Caenorhabditis elegans: one gene and its partner. The protein of the gene in region 1 purifies or fractionates together with the protein of each later gene. This does not show direct contact. Each region holds a gene or a part of one and is shown on either strand. Other genes may lie near its edges. The genes, in order: ife-4 and ZK402.5.

What was found.
Region 2: the proteins of ife-4 (region 1) and ZK402.5 fractionate together in Caenorhabditis elegans (co-fractionation; one large-scale study listed by BioGRID). This does not show direct contact.

The regions. Positions count from the first base shown.
Region 1 is NC_003284.9:1,098,065-1,110,250, forward strand, and holds ife-4 (Eukaryotic translation initiation factor 4E-4), read left to right. Parts: upstream 1-6,147; 5' UTR 6,148-6,149; coding exon 6,150-6,212; intron 6,213-6,502; coding exon 6,503-6,683; intron 6,684-7,165; coding exon 7,166-7,403; intron 7,404-7,821; coding exon 7,822-7,978; 3' UTR 7,979-8,182; downstream 8,183-12,186. Other genes in the region: rme-6 (Receptor-mediated endocytosis protein 6), read left to right, coding at 1-283, 579-687, 740-1,056, 1,105-1,260, 1,590-1,758, 1,807-2,241, 2,554-2,845, 2,892-3,119 and 6 more; C05D9.4 (uncharacterized protein), read left to right, coding at 10,003-10,057, 10,101-10,212, 10,493-10,559, 10,738-10,905, 11,897-12,046. UniProt on the Caenorhabditis elegans protein: Recognizes and binds the 7-methylguanosine-containing mRNA cap during an early step in the initiation of protein synthesis and facilitates ribosome binding by inducing the unwinding of the mRNAs secondary structures.
Region 2 is NC_003284.9:1,394,616-1,407,299, forward strand, and holds ZK402.5 (SPK domain-containing protein), read right to left. Parts: upstream 6,745-12,684; 5' UTR 6,628-6,744; intron 6,016-6,627; 5' UTR 5,924-6,015; coding exon 5,916-5,923; intron 5,869-5,915; coding exon 5,587-5,868; intron 5,543-5,586; coding exon 5,429-5,542; intron 5,381-5,428; coding exon 5,117-5,380; intron 5,066-5,116; coding exon 4,549-5,065; intron 4,500-4,548; coding exon 4,209-4,499; downstream 1-4,208. Other genes in the region: H39E20.1 (Transposase), read right to left, coding at 1,738-1,814, 1,864-1,936; ZK402.2 (SPK domain-containing protein), read left to right, coding at 9,129-9,340, 9,385-9,502; ZK402.1 (Protein FAR1-RELATED SEQUENCE), read left to right, coding at 9,656-9,810, 9,862-10,057, 10,110-10,382.

The DNA of each region.
Region 1 (12,186 bases):
AATTCAAGTACTCTTCCACCTCGTCTACTCGTGCGCTCTGTACCCAGAGGATGAGCTCAAGATTGCACAAGTTGTGTGTAATCTTTTGAAGCTTCAACTATACAGATCTGGCAGTGAGATGAGGACAATTCTGCGGAAGGAAACTTCCATATCAACGAGATTCTACAAGCATTTTGTAGAACTAATACATCCGACAATGGTATATCTAACAAAAGCTTTGAGGAAAGGGGTTTTGGATGTTATTCAGTTGGGCAGCTTTTGGTTGGATATCGATGCAAAACAGGTAAATTTTATGATTCTGCACTGACCAAAACTAGGATGTGGAAAAGCTTATACAGTAACCACAGAATTCGGTTCAAAAATTGCACTGACCAAAATAGTGTTACTAGCTGTTAAAACAATTGTTAGTGTAGTATATGTCATCCACAAAATACTTAAAGTTTCATTTCAAGCTCTGTAGGCTTGAAAAGGCTTGACAATTTGTTTAAACAATTTCAATTTTAAAAACCTGGTTTTGGTTTAGCTGCTGGAAAAAAACTCACTTTCAAGAGAGCTTTTCATACGTCTATATTTTTCAGTCCACGGCTCGGTTCTTACGTGATAACAAGCAGAATGAGGATCGCCTACCCGAATACAGAGCTCTCGTTGTTTCCAAGCTAGTCGATTTTGTTGACACTTTTCTGGAAAGTGAGTTGTTTTCCGCCAAACAGAACAAATATAAAATTTTCAATGCATTTAGATATCTCGAAAGCTCTGCCAATGCTTCCACCAAATTTGAATTGGATCATTCGAGACATATTCTGCTCGCTGTACGAGGTGGTCGATGATGTGTCAGCTATTGAGCTGAGTCATGCTTGCAAGGATATGATTGTTTCAAACCTCATTTGCCCGGCAATCATCAGTCCGCAAAAGTTTGGAGTTGTGGATAATGATGTCAGAGTTGGGACAATTGTAAACCATAACTTGGTTCAAATCGCGATGATTATCCAAATGATTTCATTGAGGGAGTTTGAATCGCCGCCGGAAGAGTACAAAGAGTTTTTGAGCCAGTGTCGGGTGAGTTGTCTTTGGAATTGATACTGCTCTCAACTAGAAGCTTTTCAGAACACACATCTCATATCAGAAATGATGGATGCTTTACTTGTGGAGAAACTTGCTCCCGACGTTGAGATCACGTCGCTTATCGCGAACGGGACTGCTGAATCGGATATGGCTACGAAATCGAGTTTTGTTGGAACTGTGGCGGATGTTAACGTTTTGGTGAGTCATCCCTAATATCAAAATTTTATGAAAGTCTAGACAAACGCTCTTATTGTCAAGACCCAAAAGTGTTAGGCTCGAGGGACGTCAGTTTTAGAAATAGGCTAAAAAACAGTGATAGGAAAATCAGTGATGATGTTGGTTTCAGACAAAAAAGCTACTAGACTTAAGTCAAAAGATATCAGGCTATAGACCCAAATCCAAAATCTGTATGGCTATCTTAGTCAGCTAAAGTGTTGTATACCCTCCAAAATTTCACCAGGTGGTAGGATAAGCCTGGAGGTCTTCGAATATAGAAAAAAAGCGAAATTTCTAAATTTCAATTCCAGATTAAAATTATTCGTAATGCACCATCAACTTCTGACGCGAAGCTCTCAAGAATTTTATCAGTATGCGACAAGCTTCCCGCCACAATCAGCTCCACCACTCAAAAGTCACACTTTGACAACCTAGAGGCTTCACCAAAAATATCAACACTTCGTAATATTCATCGAAAAGGTATACACCCAAATGGGAACTTTTTTCATAACTGACACTTTTTTTCAGTTCAACACTCATTCAAACGAACCGGTGACTCTTTCAACGATATCAATGAGCTCGGAGCAAAACAGGGAGAAGCACTAGCTTTTGGAAAAGAGAACTTTGATTTGTTCTACTTAGAGTATAGCCCCAAAAACTACAAAGACGTTGCGGAAGCTGATCGTCTAAAAAAGAAGGCCGAGGAAAGGAGACAGTTGGCTGATTTGGAGAAGCTTCTGGAGCCAACTCCAGCACCGAAGGAGACTCCAGTGGAAAACAATCTTATTGACTTTTCGTCTGGTTCAGCTGAAACTAACAGCGAACATCTCAGTGACTCAACATCAGTGTCCCCCGAGCCTCTCACATCTACAGAAGAACTTCAGATTGGTGATCAAGGAGTTGGTGGCGAGCAACGAGGAAAACTTGCTAAACTGAAAAGTTTGAGCGATAGGATGAAGAAGGGTAAGAAGATTACTATTTTACTAAGTTGAGCTAATTTTTTTGGGAAGTACCAGGCAGAGCGGATTACCTGCGTAGTTAAAGTTCGAGTAGTGAAAGGACGCAGAAATTGAACTGTTGGAGAATTTCGGCATTTAGAAGAAATTACCATTTTCCGGCAATCTGTGATTGCTGAAATTCCACGCACCTCTGAAATACGTGGTTGAAAAACTGATTCTTAACATTTTAAAATGAACTTTAGTCCTCCCACTTTCAATTAGCTTTCAGTTCCATCCAGCGCGAATTCTCAAACATACATATTAGCTAGAGTTTTAGGAATCACACAATCCAACACCCTATCCGACATCCGTGAGCACCTCCGTCGTTCGGGATCATTTGTAAAACCACCTCCGTCAGGCATCCCCACTAGCAGCAGTGAGCAAAACCTACCAGACGTTGCTACAGGTCCACGTGACGATATTCTGGCTAAGTACGCGTCGATATCATCGATTAAAGAGCAAAAACCAGCGCTCGGGAATCTAATTGATGGCACTGCCTCTGCCTCATCGACTCCGAGAAAAGAGCCACTGGAGCCGTATTATTCGTCTGAAAATCTGGTTGGTTGTCGGTAAGTTTTTTAATTCATCTATATTATCCAGATTATGGTGTTTCAGGGCTTTTCAAGACACCCTTCGAAAAATGATCACAGTTCTCGGGAACATTTCCTACTTGCCAAGGATCGGGTATCGCAACGAGACAAAGCAAAATGAGTGGGACAAGAAAGTGCTGCTTGGGAGGTTTTTGGATGGAGTCCTCGTGGAAACTGAGCACAGGAGAGAGTACGGGCTTGCGGCTCAGTTGAGAGAAGTCAAGCGATGCATCGAACTCTTTGAGCACGCTGGGTAAGAGCGGGAATGAAACTATTCGAAAAACATTATTTCAAGCAGTGAAATACGCGATAGAAACAATCTTCATTTTTATAATGGATGACATTTTTCGAAGGTTCATACAGGCTTAAGCTTAGGCTTAGGCTTAGGATTAGGCTCAGGCTTCGGCTAAGACTGAGCCTTAGGCGAAAGCTTTGGCATAGGCTTAGATTTAGGTCAAGGCTTAAGCTTAGACTCTTTTCATACTAGCCAAATTCCATATCCTCAGTATTGATTTGTAGATGAGACCTTTAAAAATTTCAGCGTTGAAATCCTCATGGACCATTTGAAATTGAATGAAGCTGAGCAGGACAAAATCGTAAATGGAATGCGTGAGGAACGTGCTTCACTAATGAGAAAATCGAATGATATCTCTTCGTTGGAGCAAAGAGTTTTGTTGTAAGCATCCTTCCTTTATCTGTAAATTTTCATCGATTTTCATTATTTTAGAAACCGCCGGCTCACCGAGCAAATCCTCGTTGATTTCCTCATGCGCACTTTTCTGGAAACGGGCTTCAACAACAAGCACACAGTTGGCAAAACTCAGGAAGTGACGGCCGTGCTCAAGTTTTACGACGAATTCAAATACCTTCGAGCTCAGGATGAACGTGCCGAGTTTTTGAAGAATCTACTCACATTTTTGAGGGATCGCTTGATGCAAAACGTGGATTGGAATGTAAGGAAGCTAGTATAAAGAAGCTAGTAATTTATAAATGGTTTCAGTTTGCCACGGATACAATGATGTCGCGAGCCATGACAACCATCGAGCGTTATGTGATTTTTGCGGTTTATGATAACGCATTCTACCCGAATAGAGATGCGGATCATCACAGAGACAAGTGAGGATTTTTTGAGACTTGGGAGCTTTCAACAAGTGTAATAGCTAGAAACTGTGATGAAAAATTTGGCTTACTCTTGAAGCCATGCTCCAGAAATTTTGTGCAAAAATTGTGGCTTTTAAGCTTAAAATTGCTATTTAATATTAAGGGAGGGGGGCAGATAGCTCAGTCGGTAGTGGTGGCCGCTAGCAGTCTGGAGGTCACGAGTTCAATTTTGGCCTCACCCCCTAGGTTCACCCAGCCTCTATTGGGAAGTGGAGCAATCCACGACTGGATTAACGGCCACAGCCCCCGGCTAGGACGTGGCTTAAATTACAGCTCAGAGGGATCACCACCAGGCAGTGTACCTGAATCCCAGATCCGCAGTGCATAGCACTTGAAGAACGGATCGTCCTTTAATCCTTTTTTTAATCGAAAACCAAAACTTGAACAATAATTCATGTTATTTTCTCAGGTTGCTCCGTGGAACCATCGCCAAAGTTTCTGACGTAGTCACGCCGGTCAACGACTTTTTGAAAATTCCAGAAGTTTATTTTTTATTATTTGTTTTTTATTGAATTGAAAAAAATTGACTAACATATTGTACACAATAAAAATTGCAGCACCTCCACGGTGAAGCTCCCTGGCCGTCTGCTCAGGCGGAACTCTCAATGCTGGATATTTATGTGACTGCTCAGGACAAGCTCAACTGTGTGGTCCGATGCTGTGACGTCATCAACAACCTGGTGGCGTTGTCTTCGAAAAACGCGGTCGCATCCGCAGATGACCTCACACCGGTTCTAGTTTTTGTGATTATTAAGGTGAGAGAAGCAGTTGAAATTTCGTTTTTGTTTTGGAAAATATTTTAAATTTAATTTAAAATTTAGGCTTCACCGCTGCAGACTATAGTAATAACTAAAAAGCTGTCAGTTATACATATATCTAGTTAAAACATTTATGTAGTTGAACTTCTTTTTTTTAAATTTCGATATTAGCTTGAAGCTTTCAATTTTCATTTCCAGGCGAATCCACGTGCTCTTCTGTCTAACGTGCAATTTGTTGAAACCTTTGCCGGTGACCGCATCGAGTCGGGACGTGATGCTTACTACTGGGTCAACTTCAAGTCGGCTGTTGAATATATCAAGACAATTCTGTGATTGTATATTTTGAACCAAATTATTTTTTTTTGAATATATTTTATGGGAACACTTTCGTTCCGCAGCAAACTCAGTTTTTATTGTTATGTGTATACTTATTTATTACAGCTAATTGCGAAGAATGAATGTTTGTAGATGTTCTTTTGAAACTAATTTTAAAAAATAATATCACAATTTCAGTATTAGCGTAAAAAGCGTTAAAACTTTTTTTCATAGCTCTAGCACACGTGTAATTGTCTAACTTACCCGAGTATCATAATAACATTTCAACAATTCGTAGATTTTTGGAAAATTTTCAGTTGTGGCAAATCGCTAAGTTCTCCAGAAATGAAGCCTTTTTGAAAATTTTTGAGCATCACTGTAGAAAATATTTGTTGTCAAGCTTAGCTTGGTGCTTAAAAATCTGACTTTGTGCTTGCTTTACACCCTGCTCCACTTAAAACAATTTTTTTCTGTTGAAAAATTTTTTATGCAGCATGTGAAGGGTTTGGAAATTTTTCCCGGCTGGCGATATTTCACCTTCAAGCCCGGGAGCTTATCCCACTTTAAAAGATCAAACTTTAAATTTATGCTCTAAATTCAAGAGAAAATATGTTTCACTTCACTTTGGCCAAGAAACATATTTACTAATGCATAAATAACGTTTCCCCTTTTCCGTGGTGCCTCTCTCTCTCTCTCTCTCTTGTTGTATGCGCAGATCAATAACGTTCGCCCCGTTGCCCCAAAACCTCTGCGTCTCCCCAACCGTCAATACTGTTTCACTTCAAGAGACTCAGAGGTCGTTTGTATGTGCTGCTATCCTCAACAGCCCTCCCCTCATCTTTTCACAACCACCATCGTTCCTCGTTTTATGTATTTGTATCAAAGCGATCGAGATTTTGTGGACTCCGATAATCGGAATATTTATTTGATTATTTATTGATTTAATTGCTCAATTACATCTTTTTAAATATGATTTTTCAAGTGCAAAGGTGTTTTAAAACGCTTTTAGAATTCCAGTTGTTTGACACGTTAAAGTTTAATTTTCAGAGATGGAAGCTGAAACGTCAACTCAGGAAGTTGTGAAGCAGGTCAAAAATTTGCCAATTTTGATGGTAAGATTTCACTTTGCAAAAGTAAAAGTTGGTGAACAAGTAATTTTTGAAATTCAAAATAAATTAACTTCTGAATGGAAAACATTTCAAAAAACCACGCGGTTTTCCAACCAATTATATCAAATGTTTGATGCTCCATGCTCGTGAAAACATGAAGTTTAAGTTTCCAACAGCTTTTTAAAATTTTGTTCCAGTACACTTCACACTTCAAATCCACTTATCCTATCTCCAAACTCACCTTGATGAATTCTAAGTGGAGCTTGCCCTCTAAAAAATTCCATATTTTTCAGGAAGATGCTCCGGTCGGCTCTGACGATCACCAACTTCAATATTCATACACATTTTCGTATTTCATGAGGCCAACTGGCAAATTCGATCCGGAAGATTATGCTAGTTATGTGCAGCCTGTTGGAATAATGAAGTCTGTCGAGCAATTTTGGAGTATTATGGTGCATTTCAAACGGCCAACTGGTAAGGGTTTTGATAGTGGAAAGTATTTAAAAATAAATCAAAAACTATGCTTTAAAAATTAAATTTGAAAATATAAAAAAAACTCCAGTAACCTTATAAGAGTTCAGGGGTATTATAAATAGTGAAACTTAAAAGTACCTAAAGAATAATTTGACCTAGTAGTGCAAGACTGATAAAGTGTTTGAAACGTAGTTGAACACTTTCAACTGTTCCTTTTTAAGTTTTTCACAAATCTTTATGAATATCGAGTTTTTAAACTTTTTTTTAAGCGACGAATAAATTTTTTGATACTGCTTGAATGGTTTCAAAATCTGAAGTTAAAAAAAAATCTGAAGCTAAGCTAAATTAAAAAAAAAATTGCCTAAAGTATATTATTAACCAATGTCTAGATTTGCTGATAATTGACACAGAATTTCCAGAAATTTTTTATTTTCAAAAAGATTTCCCTTCCATTCCATTCCATAACTTTTACTTAATTCCAGAAATGTGCGACAAAGCTGACATTCACTTCTTCAAAACTGGCGTCAAACCAGTGTGGGAAGATCCGGCGAACTGCAAAGGTGGAAAATGGATTATCCGACTGAAGAAAGGATTGTCGACAAGAATTTGGGAGAATCTGCTCATGGCAATCATTGGAGAGCAGTTTTTGGTTGGAGATGAGCTCTGTGGAGCTGTGTGCTCAATTCGCAATCAGGAAGATATTATATCATTATGGAATAGGTTAGTGCTGGAATTTAAAAATTAAAACTTGGAGTATTTGGGAACTGGAAAACGTGAAAAAAACAACAATGCCAAATTGTGCAAGACCGACAAAAAACAACTGAAAACATTTCACACCATAAATCTTAAAAAGTCTTAGTGGAATTTGAAAATGTCAAAAAAATCTACTAGTGCTTCTGCCAGATGTGAAAATAGTGTAATTGCAAATTTTGTTAGCATATCTTTTGAATGAACGCGCCTGTTGCTTCAAGAGGTCACCAAATCTTGTTAGAGCTCCACTTTGTCAGATCAAATTTTGCGTAATTTTACACTTATTATTTTCTGCAATTTTACTTGGAAAGTAGAACAGTTGTGGAAAATTGAATCAACAAATTTGCCATACACCCTGATGACATTCCCAACTACATCAATTTTCCAGAAACGCAGACGACACCCCAGTAACCAACAGAATCCGAGAAACTCTTCGATCGGTGCTCCAACTGCCTCAGAACACGGTACTAGAATACAAACGACACGATGACTGTCTCAGAGATCAGAGCTCATATCGTCATACTACTAAAAATATCTGCAAATGATCATGCTGCTTTACTATTATTTTTTTCGATTGGGAATCATTTTGGGTCCGGAGAAAAAGAAAATGAGAGGAATCTCGTTATTGGTTTTAATATATTCTGTATAATGACTAGTTTTATGATTTCAAGTTTTTTTTTGAATATGTGGTTTAGTCTGGCGGCTCTTGGAGCTGATGGACACTTTTAAATAAATTTATTCTATTGAAAATTAATTGAAGAATTCTGCATTAACCAAACAAAATAATTTATTAGATTTTAAAGAATCATCATTAAATGTTAAAGGAGTTGGTGCATCACGTTACTTTCACAACCCTACATTAAAAAAAAAGTTATTAAAATACAGTCGTTTGGTAATCATCATGAAAAATGGACTCACGAGATGTCGACCGCTTTAATTCGTTCCATAAAATTTAAATAATATAGACATACAAAAACATATAGACCGAGCCATGAGCTATGTTTTGTTAGTTGAAAGTGTTTTGATAGCATCTCTAGTTTTGGAGTTATTCTTATTTGAAAGTGGATATCTTCTTGGCCAGCACTGTACTACGTGATGACCTAATTTTCAACTATTCAGCTACAAAATCAGATAGCTCAAAGTCGAAAATATATACCCCTCTTTTTTCAAAATTGCAAGCAAATTCACTAACGAAATATAAAAGTTTATTGGAATTAGAAGTGTCAACTGTAAATGCCACGTGGCAACCTCAGATTGAATCGGATGTTTCAAAATTCGAAAGTCCATAACCAAAAGTCGACGCACCTGAGTTATCCGAATTGTAAGTACATTACAAACTGAAATATATAGTTTTGTCTAAATCTTACGGAAACTGCCTCCTGCTGACCTCAATTTCAAAACTACAACTCCAGCAATTAGGTTAAAATGTAGTTCACAAAATGTACAACATTTTGTTACTTGACAATTTTTCTGTATCTCTAAAAAGAAGTGAGATACACTATCCAGAAAGTGACCATCTTTTCCCCCTCGAGCCCCCAACAGCTTCTGGATTTATATATTTTATTTAAAACTCAAAAACCGCAGGGCGTCGTGGCGGGCGTCTGTAACCTAGCCGGGGGCTGTATTCAGGGGGAGTTGACATCAAACCCTGTCTTTCTTTCATGATGTCATTACTAAACAAACTAAATTTTCTTAAGTGGAGCTTAACTCCCAAAAAAAAAATTTTTTTTTAATTTTGCGCGCGCGTGCACGTGGCATGGCCTCTTCGACCTTCAAAAATTTAATGCCCTATATCTCAGCTTAAATTAGCGATAGAAACCTGAAAATTTATCTATAAAGGTTTTCGACTCTGGGCTTTCAGAATTTTAAATGACATTTTAAAAATTAGGTTACCACGTGGCAATTTTTTTAAAAATTTCTTTGCCTTTTTTGCAAGTGCGCATTTAGGCCATAAGCGGCTACTAGCTAGAAAAAGCGATAAATTTCTGAAAATTTATGTGACTAGGTTTTAGACTGTGACCTTTCAGAATTTGAACATTTAAAATTGAAGTCATCGCGTGAAAATGTTGTTTAACTCGTATACATAGCTTTGTATTTCCCTGCTGAAAGTATGTAGTCATCTTAAAAATCAGACATATAGGGTTTCAACAATGAGTTCTCAGATTCTGATGTAAGCAACTTTAGTTTATACCTGTCCAATTTCTCAATCAAATAAAAATGTAAAAAAGAATCACGTGGAACCTCTCAAGCTGAAGTATTCCGCCTGAACCAACCATTTTTTTATGTACAACTCTGTCTCCAAACCTCTCAAAACCCTTCAAACTTTTAGCTCCTTGATTTCTTTGTAAATCTATTCCACCTCGATAATCCATCTTTGTAACCTCTCTCAATCCTCATTTAGACGTCAAGGATACCCCCTACCATTAGCCGCCCTCCGAGGAAAGGAACAAGTATAATTGTACAAGCCTAATGTCACCCCATTTGATGGACATGTGTGTACTTGTTCCATTAGCCACCTACCTTTTTTCATACTTTTCCATTTCAACTATTCAATCTATGTAGACTACCTATGGATAAATTTCATTCTCTGCTAGTAGCAATATTTCTGTTGAGAGCTTTGGAAGGTAAATAATATGAAAGTTATTCAAAATCAATTAATCCGTTCAGAAACGTATTCAACGTATCATGGAAATATCTATGGAATCCAGAAGTTGAAGGGCAACAAAACTGGAAAGTCGGTTTATCAACATTTTTGGTTTAAAAGGCATCATGTGCATTTGTGAGTTCACGTATTAATTTTAATTTTTACATTTAAAGTTAGGTGCTTTGACTGTAAGATACAAGTTGTCAGAATTTGAAAAATGTGGTGTGAATAGAAGTTGTCACGTGGCATTGGCAGCTGACATTTTAGATTATTAAAAGAAACTTAAAAATAGAAATAAAACATTATTGTCATTAATTTTGAAAAAAAATGTGAACAAACCCTTTAATTTTTATCTCAACAAGTAATCAATTTCTTTGCCTAAACTGCATTTTTGTGTGAAAATATTATGTTGCAGAAGACAACGGTACCCAAAAACGCTAATGTTTGCAAGGATGTCGATGAGCCAATGCTCCAAGAAAAAAGTAATATTTATAAAAAAAATTAATCATGACAGGTACAGACAGTCAGAAAACGCAAGTCCAGATAGGTTTTTTTTGAAATTTGTTTCAAGATTTGAACTATAAACTTTCAAATTTATATGTTCCCCCAATCTTAAACAACTTTCAACAGATTAATTTAAAAAAAAACCCCCCTTTTCAGAACATCAAAATCATACAAGTAAAACGAATTGGTGGTGATTACCCATATGGTCCAAAACTGTCATCAATCTCTGAAAACCAGATATGCCGCCCCACAACAAGCCGCTCCTCCTCACCTCATTTTTCTTCCATCGCTTTTTCAACTTCCCGACAACTCAACTTTCCCAAGGTCCGTTTGTTGGTGTGTTGCATTTCTTTTTATCAATCGAGGGCTTTCCGTGCACTATATGTTGTAATACTTTGTTGAAGACCCCCTGTGTACGTTGGGTACACCAGTTGGGGAATGAGATAGACAGTGATTGATTACTTGATGCTTTGTGGTTTGTCGGGCGGGGATTGAGTCAGTAGATCCAAAGAGGAGAAAACAAATATTGTTGCTCGGGTACATGAAATTAGCAACATAGTTTCATGGTGTATCGACATGAATTGAATTTTTTTTTTAAACTTGCTAACTGAAATTTTCTAAAAATGCTTTTGCCTTTAGTTTTGTAATTGAAAAAAAACTGATATGTATTGTTAAAACTCGCAAGGGTCACCGTTGAGCAAATTTATAAGCTGGTGATTTTTCTGTCTAGAAATGCAATAAATCTTTTATTTTGAAAATAAAAATAAATAGAAAATATTATGGTTTTTTTAAGGCGAGACCTATGTACCCAAATTTGTATGTACCTAAATTTGATTTTTTTTTTCAAACCAAAATATAAACTGCAATTAAATGAAATTGATCAGTGTAAATTTTATTAATTAGTACATATAGTACAGTATAGTGTATAATATAATATGCTATAAGATAGTATAGTATAAGTTAAATGTGCTTTAAGTTTCAAATCAAATAGATTTCAAAATTGTATTCACCTAAAGTCTAACCTCTGTTTTGAAATATTTCAAAAGTGAAAATTTTTCCACTGTGAAATTCAGTGGCAATGATTCTTTAGTAATGCAAATTTGTTAGAAACAGATATACAGTTTTTTTTTATGAAAAAAATATTTACTCGTTTTCAGGTCTTTTTGGAATTGCTATGCTGTATAGAAACACTCCTAAATTTTCAAGTAGAAATTGTAAAAGAAATTTCAAATTAACTGTTCCACGTTGCAACTAGAGCTCTCTAGAAAAAATCCTTTACACTATAAATTGGAAATAACTCTAAAATACTTTTCAGAAATCTTCGAAATCTCTGAACCAAGTTCATATCAACCTGGCAAAGCGAAAACAGTGGAAACGAAACAAGGCGTGGTGTACTCATTGTGAGTCATACTGGAAGATGAAGATTAATTCGAAACAGTTGAAGTCTAGATACCCGTGCTGTTGAATTATTTTGAAATATTTTTTTATTTTAAATAAATGCCTATTTTCCGCGTGAAATTATAATTTTTACTGCAAAACGACAACCTGTGCTCATTTCTTGGATTTATACTGAAAATTTGAGTTTCAGGTTGTGCTTGAACTTTG
Region 2 (12,684 bases), 300 kb from region 1:
TGTGAACAATAGAAATCCGGAATTTCTGTCGTCAGATGATGATAGACATCTAACTTCTTACACTAAACGACTAGACACCACGGGTGTTCGTTACGGAGAGTGATGTAATTGGGGAGTCTTTTTTTTGATAGCTCATGTATGTATATATATCGGTGGTTTTTGGATATATTTTTAAAGATGAAGTCGCGCTAGTAGGAATTTTGTTTAAATACACTTGTAATAACCCAAAATGACCAAATATCATAATAAAACACTCAGTTTTGGCAAATTTCCAAAATTTTAAATAAATATTTGCTTTTGAGGAAATCCAAAGCAATCTCGCATGTTCCAACCCCTACAATGTTTTAATACAAATAATTGAATCAGAATTAAAGTTTTAAAATATAGGAAAAAAAATTTTTTTTTTTGGTCGACTTCAAAAATTATGAGTGGCAAAAACTGAGTAATTGTCACTTTTTGACAGTAAATAAAAAAATTTCAAAAAAGGCTTGAAAACTTTTATAATGATATTCGGTCATTTTGGGATCATAGAAGTGGTTCTTAACAATATCCCCACAGGCGCACTCCACCTTTAAAAAATTGTTCAAAGTAAAATTGTGGGTGTTAAAATTTCTAGGGAAAGCTTTTTTAAGGCATTTTTTTTAACTCTACACATTATAAAAATTGTTAGAAATTAGCAGAAAAACCCGAATTAGAGCCAAGAATTTACCGACATAAATTCAGAATTAAAAGCAATTGAAACAGTCAAATATCTGTGAAAAACTGTATTAAAAAACCGCGAATTCTAATTTTCTAATTAAGAAAGTGAGAAATAGAAAAACTAAAAACTAAAAAAAAATTATTTTTAATTTTTAAAATTAAAAAAAAACCAACTTTAACTATGGAACTCCGAGTTCACATTTTCATGAAAAAGTGATTATTTTGTCATTTTCAAAGTATTTAAAAAAACCTTTTTTGGCTAAATTTTTTTTTCATTTTGAAATCGCGAAATTTTTTTGAAAACATTTTTTCGTTCAATTTTTTTTTCTTTTTTTTAAATTCAAATTTTATTAAGCGTATGCGAAAAATTAAATATGTTGCATTTTAAACCTTGAAACAATTTTTCAAATTAGAAAAAAGGTTGTTGTTAAATAAAACTTAAAAATCAAAACAAAAACTTGTGATCCAAAAAAACGAAAACCAGATAAACATCAATATTTTTCCACACGTTTTGTTTTTTAAAGATCTATTATTAGTCGGTCAAAATCCACAAAACAAGGATCACCATTGGAAAATAAAATAGAAGAAAACAAAAATTGTTCATTGCTCCCTCCTAGATCAGTTATCACTGAACTCTTGCACTTGGCTGTATATTTCCGGGTGCAACGAATCACTAGTCTGGTGGTCATTGTAAAATCCCATGAAATCAGCTGCAACGGGGGTTTAGAGAAAGATTGCTATCTTTCTTATCACTTGATGAGAGAACGTTCAAAATGACGTGGAGAGTGGAGAACATGATTCTCACGAGACTTTTCCGTGAGTTTAGCAGGGGGAAATAATGATGACTGGACTAGATTTTGTGGTGTCTTACAATACTTGTTAAAAAATGATAAATAAATAAAAATTAGGTTCCAGACGTTGCGACACCGAGAAGTTGAAAAAAAACTGAATTCAGATAGCAGGAAGACTTATTTTCTTTATTTGAAACTACATGAATTTGAATTAAAAGTACATTTTATTTAAAAAAAAAAAGGAAAATTAATATTCTGCCGTTCCTGGTGCCAATCTCGCCACTTTTATGTTCTTTTTTTCGCTATGCTTTTTCCATCCAATATCTGAAATTTTTACAATTATAACATGAAGCTTGACTTTTAAAAAACTTACTTGCTCCGATAGAGTCTGGGCCATTATCCCGATAGAATTTGTATCGAAACAAGTTCACAACAAATTGGGGCATGAGGTGTGCTCATTGAAGAAGAATCGGTAGAAGTCTGAAAAGAATGATTTGAAGATAGAGTAGCGCCGGTGAGGTCCTAGTTGGCTTAAATTGATTCAAAAAATTCTAGATTTTTTTATAATTTTTTAAAGTCAAAGTTTTGGCAATTTTCAAATTGTTGAAAGCATGAGCTTTTAAGAAAATCGTGAAAAATTGTTTTTTTGGGGTTTGAGGACAAAAGCCCGGAAAGTGAAATAAGGTACTTACCTAGAGTTTGATAACTTCTCCACTCAATCAATCGCTCAGCATTTAGTATCAGCTTGCGGCTACTTTCGTTGAGCCGCTTCCTCCTGATCTTCCATGTTCTCCTGCTGAACCACTGAACTCCTTCATTTCTCTTCATTTTTTCTCAGTGCGACTCGTGTTGCTCGAAGGAACTGGCGCTGGAGTCTATCAGAGTTTTCAAAAAAGTTAGTATTTTTTGGTTGAGCCGCTTCCTCCTGATCTTCCTTGATCTCCTGCCGAATCACTCAAAAGGAACGAGACTGATTGTTGTTCTCCCGGCGAAACTGTAGTCCTTGGAACTTTTAGGTTTTCCTCCTCAATTGAGCACAGTCAAGATCCATAGATTCCTCTAGGTATTCCACATTTTCAGCTTGAGCATCGTGATGGTTGTTTGACGCCAAAGAAGTTTCCATCGCCTTTGGAGTGTTGGGACCACAAAGTGCTACAACTTTCTTTTTTTTCCTCAGCCAGACTCGTGCTGTTGGAAAGCAACGACAGTTTTCTTCCTCAATTTCTTGAGCACAGTCAAGTTCCATGCATTCCTCTAGGTTTTCCACATTGGCGCTTGAGTCCATCTAAGTTAGGCTTCTTTGGTTGATCCGCTTCCTACTGCTCTTCCTTGATCTCCTGCTTGATCACTTTGAAGGAACAAGTCGGTCTCATCCACTTCCTCCATTTTGTCTCAGCCAGACTCGTGTTGTTTGACACAAGGAAGTTTCCTGAAGAGCGAGGGGTAGCACAGGAAGAGTACCACCAGATTTGGCAGAGGCGTTGTGGTCTTGGTTGAGCATTCTGTAAACTTGAAAAAATTCATTCAATATAACAAGTAATGGTTTGATAATGAAGAAAAAACTACCATGAAACACAAAAAAAAATTCGATAAAGAAGTGGAAACTAGCTAATAAGAATAAAGAAAGAATGCAAGAAGCAGTGAGCAAATGCCTGTCGGACCCCACATCCACAAACAGAATGTAGAGCGCGTTAAAACAAAAAAGAGAAAAAAAAGCTCGAAAATAAAAGAAACTCCGGTTTTTATACTGGCTGGAAGGGAGTGAGGCCGGCGGCGACGCACACTCAAAATGAGAATACGCGCGCGCGCGGTGGGTCAAAACAAAAGAAATGGATCAAAAGCTTATAAGTCTAGACAGCGATCTCGGTGAAAAGTGAGCGACGCGGCGACTTCAGATTGGCAACGGTTTTATAGAAGAGGGTCACCACCAGTGACCCGAGTAAGATAAAAAATGGTTGTGAATGCAGAATGTTGCAGTGCAGCTGCTGTCGTCAGTGTAATGTAAACATAGTAGTAAAGCCATTTTTTCCTACGCACCCAGATGATTCCTTTTAGTTGGAAAGAAAGAGAGAAAGTTCGAATATTATAATCTAAAAAATAATAAAATTAAAATTCAGCTAATTTCACTCGGTATATTAAAAATTCATATTTACTTTTATTGTTTTTTTAACGGGCAATTCAAATATCTGTAGTGTTGAGTTTTGTATTATATTTTGGTGAAATATGTACTGCAAAATACAAGAAATTAATTAGGTTCATTCATAGAGAACACTTTAAAAATCTAGGAAACGGTAAATAAACTCCCAAGAATTACAAGTATCATTATAACAAAAATTATTCTTTCTGGCCACAGCATTTCCTCTATCGTTTCCATTTCTGCATCAATCACATCAGCCATCCCGAATGTCCTTAACAACTGAAAAAAAACAGTTAAAAATTCTAATGAAAAATTCTTTCTTAGGGTGAAAAATACGTTCTGGGTAAAAAATCATAACGTTTTTCCTATCGATTTTCCCGATTTTTTGGGAACTCGTTTTTCAGGCTCTCGCCTGTCCAATGGTGCACCTTGTCAGCTTTTATCTGAGTTTTGATAGGTGGATTTCGCATAAATTGGGCAAACATGCAAGAATTGAAAAAAAAAACCATTAAAAATGTTTTCGAATTTTTTTTTGTTGGACGAACTTTATTGATTTTTCATACAACTTTAAAAAAAAAGACCTAACATAGTCTAAGGAAACTTAGAACACACAAATCATTCGAATTTGAAATGTCAAAAATTCTTTTGAAAAATGGGGGGTGGGAGGGGGGAGGGGATGAGTTCAACCCTCCACCACGGGAAATTTTTTTGCGAATTTTTTCATCCCAAAAAAAAAAGGAAAAAAAGGTCCATTGAACTTGAGAAGGAAATCCTTGACCTACATAGCAGGGACAAGCGGTTGCTTTGATTTTTCGATTGATCGTGATGAGGAATGCCTCGAAAACTCCACGAAGCTCGGCAAATAGGATTTTCTGAAAATCGAATTTTCAAAATAATTTTTTTTCCATGAGAACTGTAAACCTTATCAACATTAGTTCCAATTGACTTTTTGATTTGTTGCTTGAGCTCCTCGAGTTCCCTACTTTTGAGAAAGCAAATGAACTGGGTCAGTTGTTTCAGGAATTCAGACATATTAATGGGTTCATCTGAAGTGGCTCCAGTATTCGCGGAAAGACTGATTTGTTGACGATCGAAGCGTGGAACACCAGTTTTTTGTTCTTCTTGCACATGATCGCTATTCGAATTATGTGGTGCAAATCCTTCGAAGATTGGTTCAGGCTTCGGCTGTCCCTTCATCGCTCCGATGTATTGCACCTCATCGTCGTCACTGTCCAATTGAAGAGATTTCACATAAATAGTTGGCTGATTGTTCTCTTCCATCATCACTTCTTTATATTCTTGCGAATGATCGATGAGCAAATTATAGGTTGAATCTCTATTGAGGAGTTCTTCAAAATCGAAATCAACTGGCTCAGGCTTCGGATATCCGTCCACAGTTTCAATAATCTCCAGATCATCGTCGTCGTCACTCGAGCTCCTGAAAATAATCAAATAAAATACTGCGTAATATGAAATTGACAGGATATACATTTCAGTTCTCGCTCTTTTCGGAGATCTAGGAAGAGAAGTCGCCGAATCTACGCCATCTTCGTCGCTCTCGGCTTGGTTCGTCGTCTGACTTGCATTCATGACCATGTGCACGTGTCGACCAGCCTTTCGGTGATATGCAGATGTTCTTTTCATTCTTGCCGAATGACTGTGGTCCGCCTCCAACTTCAGCTTTCCATCACGTGATGCATACTCGCAAATTCGTTTGCCATCATTGAGCACGACAATTCCCTCCGTTTGAACTCTGTAAATCACTATTCGTTAACTCAAAAACCTTTTTAAAATTTTTTACTGTGTCAGAAAGTCGTCCGAAACTTCTCCAACAAGCCCAAGCATCACTCGGAGACGGCTTTCAATACTGTAATTGTCCAGTTGATCCATGTTTGGCGCAAGCTTTTTATGGAATCTAAATCTAAATTTATTAAAGAGAACCAGGTATAATATTCTCACTTTCGATAATAGGCTCCATCCGAACATCTGGCATTTTCTTTTTTACCGAACTCCATGAAAACTTTTGTTGCCACCAGTGGCTCATTGGCTTCTTTCGTCTTTTCAACAAGAAACGTCATCAATCTTACGTCATCGGCGGAGAGCATGATCTTCGTTGACCTCTTTCGTGCTGCCTTAGAAGATTTACTGTGGATTCTTTCCAACGTGAGTTTTCCGTCGCGTGACTTATAATTGCAGATTCGCATTTTCTTGTCAATCTTAACAGTGCCAGTCGATTTGATCCTGCAACAAACTAAATTCATAAATCTGAAGGTAACATCTCTCCTCACAATGTCATGAACTTGTCCGACACTTTTGCCGACAAGGCAAACGTCACTTGAATGCGTGACACGACACTGTATTCGTTTTTTTCGTTTTATGTTCCGACCCCTACAATACTTTAATACGAATAATTGAAACAAAATTACAATATAAAAAGTTTAAGTTTTAAAAAAATTTTTGGTCGACTTCCAGAATTATGAGTGGCAAAAAATGAGTTGTCAATCGTCATTTTTTGACAGTAAATAAAAAATTTCAAAAAAATTTTAAAAAGTTTTGTTGTGATATTTGGTCATTTTGGCATCATATTAATAGTTTTCTAATAGTTTTAGCACTTTTCCCACTGGCGCTACTCCACAGCATTTTTGAATGCTTTTCTTAAACTCTTTGAGTATTCCTACACAGTATTTTAAACTTAAAATAATCAATCCACCTTATATCAAAGTTAATAAGCAATATTTGAAAAATTTTAATGTTTCATAATAGAATTTAAAGAGTATAGCACTATCTCAGCGGTTTTAAATAATTTTCACCAATGACAAACACCTACTTTTAAAAATTAAAAAAATTTGAGAAGAAAAGCCCGAAAATTCAAATAAAGTGATAACCAAGAGTGTTATCAGTTTTCCAATTTAATAAATTTCTCAAAATTTAGCAACAAATTGCATATTTTGAAATAAAATTCCCACTTACCTGTTGAAACAAATTCAAAAAAAAACTTACTTTTCTACCAATTAATATTACTAAAGTAAAAATAGGAATAACATTAGAAAAGGTTCATATAGAAAACTAGAAGAATAGAAGAGGGTCACCACCAGTAACCCAAGTAAAACAAAGAATGATTGGAAATGTAGAATGTTGCTGTGCAGCTGCTAACGCCAAGGTTATATGAACACAGTGAGTCATTCTTTTCTACGTACCTATCTAGACGGTGACAACATGTTTGAGGGTTTTATGGTGGGGTGACAATATGTTGTCGACTAAAGGAATCCATCCATCAATATTTACCAATATGAATAATATTTCGAATATATTGTAATTTAGGAAGTTCTCGGAATACATGTGACTTGAATAATACAACTTTGAATGGGGTTATTCAAATAGTGTCGGAAAATTAAAAAGTGTTGAAAAATTACGTCACAACTGTAGGTATTAAAGGTGGGGTACCGAAATCTAGGAAATATTTTTAAATAACTCCAAATTTTCCCCTGATTCCGAACATCTATGTGAACAAATTAAAAAAATCCCTGATTATATATTTGATCTTGAAATCGCGTTTTTCATTTGCGTACCCATGAGATTTTTCAAATGCGCGCAAATAAAACTATACAAAAATTATTTTAGAGATTGAAAAACGTTGCCCCTATTATGTTGTCCCGAGGTAGAGTTGGCCACAGGACTGGGACCAAAAAAAGTTTGGACCAAAAAACAAAAATTGAAATTTTTGAAAAACCAAAAAAAAAAAAACGAAAATAAATTACGATGCTTAAGGATTCGTATTAAAGTATTGTAGGGGTCGGAACATAAAACGAAAAAAACGAATACAGTGTCGTGTCACGCATTCAAGTGACGTTTGCCTTGTCGGCAAAAGTGTCGGACAAGTTCATGACATTGTGAGGAGAGATGTTACCTTCAGATTTATGAATTTAGTTTGTTGCAGGATCAAATCGACTGGCACTGTTAAGATTGACAAGAAAATGCGAATCTGCAATTATAAGTCACGCGACGGAAAACTCACGTTGGAAAGAATCCACAGTAAATCTTCTAAGGCAGCACGAAAGAGGTCAACGAAGATCATGCTCTCCGCCGATGACGTAAGATTGATGACGTTTCTTGTTGAAAAGACGAAAGAAGCCAATGAGCCACTGGTGGCAACAAAAGTTTTCATGGAGTTCGGTAAAAAAGAAAATGCCAGATGTTCGGATGGAGCCTATTATCGAAAGTGAGAATATTATACCTGGTTCTCTTTAATAAATTTAGATTTAGATTCCATAAAAAGCTTGCGCCAAACATGGATCAACTGGACAATTACAGTATTGAAAGCCGTGTCCGAGTGATGCTTGGGCTTGCTGGAGAAGTTTCGGACGACTTTCAGTAGTATGTGGAGCTAAATTTCCCACCCCCAGCCAGGGAGCTAAATTTCGCACCTGCCACTCAAACCGCGTTCATGCACCGATTTTTTTCAAATCTATATCGTTTTCTTCGTCAGGAGAACAGAGAATTACGCAAAATAATTCTCAATCTCGAGGCCCTGGATGAGATTGAAGGACTCATTAGAGTATGGTGAGTTTTTTTTCTTAGTCTTTTTTTACCTTACCCTACCGTTTACAGGACAGAATAAATGCTTCTGGTCTCCTTGCCATTCAAGTCACCATTCAAGTGCCACCGTGTCTGGTCTCCTCGCCATTCAAGTTATAAATTACAATTTCCATTTTTTTCTGAATAAAAGCTTTGTTTTCGTTTTATTTGTTTAATAAACAATTTGGATGGAAAATGGAATCTTTTATCATTTGTGAAAATCTTTGAAAATAAAAAAAGTTTCGACAAAAAACTGAATAATTCTTCAAACATTTAAATTTGATACATCTCCTTAACTTTATTCTTCAATCTTGAAGCTGAAAATTCCGCGCCGAATGCACTGATAACTTTTGAGAATACATATAAAATTGAAAACCACCGACATCTCACCCTTCCACCATCTCTCTCATGGGTGGCAGGCGGGAAATTTAGCTCCCTGACTAGGCTTGAAATTTAGCTCCCCGGCATCACTCCAGCCTTCCCCCTTTTCTCTCATGGGTGGGGTAGGTGCGAAATTTAGCTCCCTGGCCTTCGGCCATCACCGTAACTGAACTCACCTCTCCCCCTTCTTTCCCTGCAGTGTGGGTGGCAGGTGCGAAATTTAGCACCCTGGCTGGGGGTGGGAAATTTAGCTCCACATACTACTATGTAGCGACGAATTCCGTCGCGCCATCTCCTCAATCTCGCCACCAGTTCATCCACATCATTGAAATGACGAAGAACTCCGTCAAGTGGAATTGAAATCTTTGGTGCACAGAACAGAAACACTGCAATATGATTACTGACTTTAAGTAAAAAAATTCCACGGAAGCAGAAAACTATCTACAGAGATTGAATAGTAAGAGTGAGGAGGTTTTTGTGGGAAACCTGATCAAACTTATCGGCAAAAACAAAGAAAACGATATAGATTTGAAAAAAATCGGTGCATGAACGCGGTTTGGTGGCAGGTGCGAAATTTAGCTCCCTGGCTGGGGGTGGGAAATTTAGCTCCACATACTACCGCCGATGACGTAAGATTGATGACTTTTCTTGTTGAAAAGACGAAAGAAGCCAATGAGCCACTGGTGGCAACAAAAGTTTTCATGGAGTTCGGTAAAAAAGAAAATGCCAGATGTTCGGATGGAGCCTATTATCGAAAGTGAGAATATTATACCTGGTTCTCTTTAATAAATTTAGATTTAGATTCCATAAAAAGCTTGCGCCAAACATGGATCAACTGGACAATTACAGTATTGAAAGCCGTCTCCGAGTGATGCTTGGGCTTGCTGGAAAAGTTTCGGACGACTTTCTGACACAGTAAAAAATTTTAAAAAGGTTTTTGAGTTAACGAATAGTGATTTACAAAGTTCAAACGGATGGAATTGTCGTGCTCAATGATGGCAAACGAATTTGCGAGTATGCATAACGTGATGGAAAGCTGAAGTTGGAGGCGGACCACAGTCATTCGGCAAGAATGAAAAGAACATCTGCATATCACCGAAAGGCTGGTCGACACGTGCACATGGTCATGAATGCAAGTCAGACGACGAACCAAGCCGAGAGCGACGAAGATGGCGTAGATTCGGCGACTTCTCTTCCTAGATCTCCGAAAAGAGCGAGAACTGAAATGTATATCCTGTCAATTTCATATTACGCAGTATTTTATTTGATTATTTTCAGGAGCTCGAGTGACGACGACGATGATCTGGAGATTATTGAAACTGTGGACGGATATCCGAAGCCTGAGCCAGTTGATTTCGATTTTGAAGAACTCCTCAATAGAGATTCAACCTATAATTTGCTCATCGATCATTCGCAAGAATATAAAGAAGTGATGATGGAAGAGAACAATCAGCCAACTATTTATGTGAAATCTGTATGCAAGAGTTTGCAAGCTCCCCTTGAAAAGCGATCCCAAAGAATTTCAGGGGAACATCCCACGAAAGGTCGACAAAGGACCGAGTATTCCTCGAAGGAAACCGAAGAACTCAGTGTTCAAAAACGATAAGAAAGTTCCCATGAGGGACTTCACGACGGATGAGGAGGAGAAGACACCGCGATGTGTGTACTGCCATTATCATCATCATTCCAATCGATGCGGGCACACGAAAGGAACTTTCGAAAGAAAGAAAATCCTCGACAAAGACAACCGTTGCCACTTGTGCCTGGCAAAACGAGAAGGAAGACATTGTTGCACCTAGAAACCCTAGTAACATGTCATCTGGTTACGCCCTCTGGACACGCCCATGACACCAAGAAGAAGAAAGAAGAGAAGAGCAAGGTAGTGTGGTGGTGATGATGGTTCCTGAGTGGTGATGGTGTGAGCTCTCATTCTGTTCTATCTTTATTCTATCTTTTACATCTTAATCCTCATTATTCTTTATATTCTTTAACTTCCAATAATAAACTCATAAGTAACATAACCGCTACACCATGTTAGTAAAATATATAAAGACCTCATAAGAACCCTGTGGGTATGATAACATCAATGTACTCCAAAGCCATGTACGTACTGTAAAAGGATCAATCATCATTGTTCCATCTGTATCGAGGATCCCATTCAAAGAAGCGAAGATCAAAAGTAATGCAAGCTGTCAAGATCATCATCATCACACACTCATCAAATCTTATCATCTACTCAAGCCAAGCTGTCTACTCAAGCCAGGCAGTCTACTCAAGCTCAACAAGGAGATCAAAACAAAATCCGAGGCTACTCATCGTGCGGCGCGGGGAGTGTATGAAACCTCTTTGATGATTCATACCTCTAAGCAAAAGCCAAGGAATGCAATAATTGATTATAATTGATTTTATTGTAATGTTTTTTAATATAGGCTAAGAGCCTCAACCTTTCCCCCTTTTCTCTCCCATACCATACCGCCGCCCCGCCCCAAATTCCTCTTTCTCCCTCGTGTCTCTTCAGAGAGGAGACAGCATAAAAAACTTGTCCTGAGAGGGACAGGTCACTCGTTTACAAACCGCTGGGTCTTTGAGTCCCCAGCCAATACTTTCCCATTTTCCCATCCACAATTTCATACCATTTTTTCTGTATTCTTACTTTTCATATAATAAAGTTCATTCTTATCACAAGTGTGAGCTTTCTTTTAAAATCTCTTCAATTGGACAGTGACGACGATGAGGTGCAATACATCGGAGCGATGAAGGGACAGCCGAAGCCTGAACCAATCTTCGAAGGATTTGCACCACATAATTCGAATAGCGATCATGTGCAAGAAGAACAAAAAACTGGTGTTCCACGCTTCGATCGTCAACAAATCAGTATTCGAAAACAAATATGCGACAAATAATGAATCCGACATTCTTCAAATTTTTGTCATACTGGCGCCGGTTCGGATCCCATGGAAATGGAGAGGAAAAAAGTATCTCCTTGAAAGGAATTTGGAAGTATTCGGCGCGAGACTAGAGGATATCGATAAACACATTGTCAAGAAGTTCGTCGAATTTGGGAATGTAAAAAAAGTGATATTGTGTGCTACAAATGGGCGCTGCCGGCACCTGAGAAATATGGTTAGGTAGTTTAATTATTTTAAACTTTTTTTTTTACCAAAAAAATTACGGATTGTCAAGGTCTTGGACAAAGCTATTGAAAAAATCCACATCAAGTATAGACGCCGCCTCACGGAGTTCACACCAATCAATGCAGAGGAATACATACTCATCACAGCACGTGCACCGATAATCTTTTTAATGAGGACAGAGGTCACGAACCGAATAACCAAAGTGAAATCGGTGATACGGACAGGCGTGACAGGAAAGGTTGCAGGGTGGCGTGGAAAGAAACAGATCGACACAGCCTTCATAAAGTAAGAAATTTTGAAAAAAAAACATCATCAGAAAAAAATATAAACCTAATTTCCAGAGTTGCTCGATACCCCGACCCCTTTTCTGTCAGAACGTGCGAGGTTGAGGAAAAGGGCAAAACACATTGGGGATTCCCATTCGACACAAGGGGAGACTGTAGATAAAATAATTCTAGACACCGCATTCAAGCTGGCCCCATTTTGATTGCGGTGTCTAGAAGCCGTGTTAGAAAATCTAGTGATATATTTCTCTCTTATAACGGAGTCCAAGTGTATAGTGGTCTTAGTATCCATATATACACCACACCTGAGATTAGCGCTGTGCTTGAGGAAAAAATGAAAAAAACTGTATAACTAGACTTTTTTCCACAAAATTTTAATGACCACATTTGTTCTTCCCAAACACTAGGAATTTTGTATTATGAAATATCGTTCTTTTTTTGTATCCAAAAGCCTCAATATCTTTGGAATTGTAGTCAGTCGAATTATTACACTTTATTTTCTGACTACATTTTTTAATTAAAAGTTATTGAATGTATTTTTGTATCTTCTGTGATTTTATCTTAATCATCATTCTCCATCAACACCCTATCAAGTTCTAACGGATAACACAATAAAGTATGCTAGTTAACCATGCTGATAACATCCAGATTGATGAATATATTCTGTTGAGCACCATTCTGTA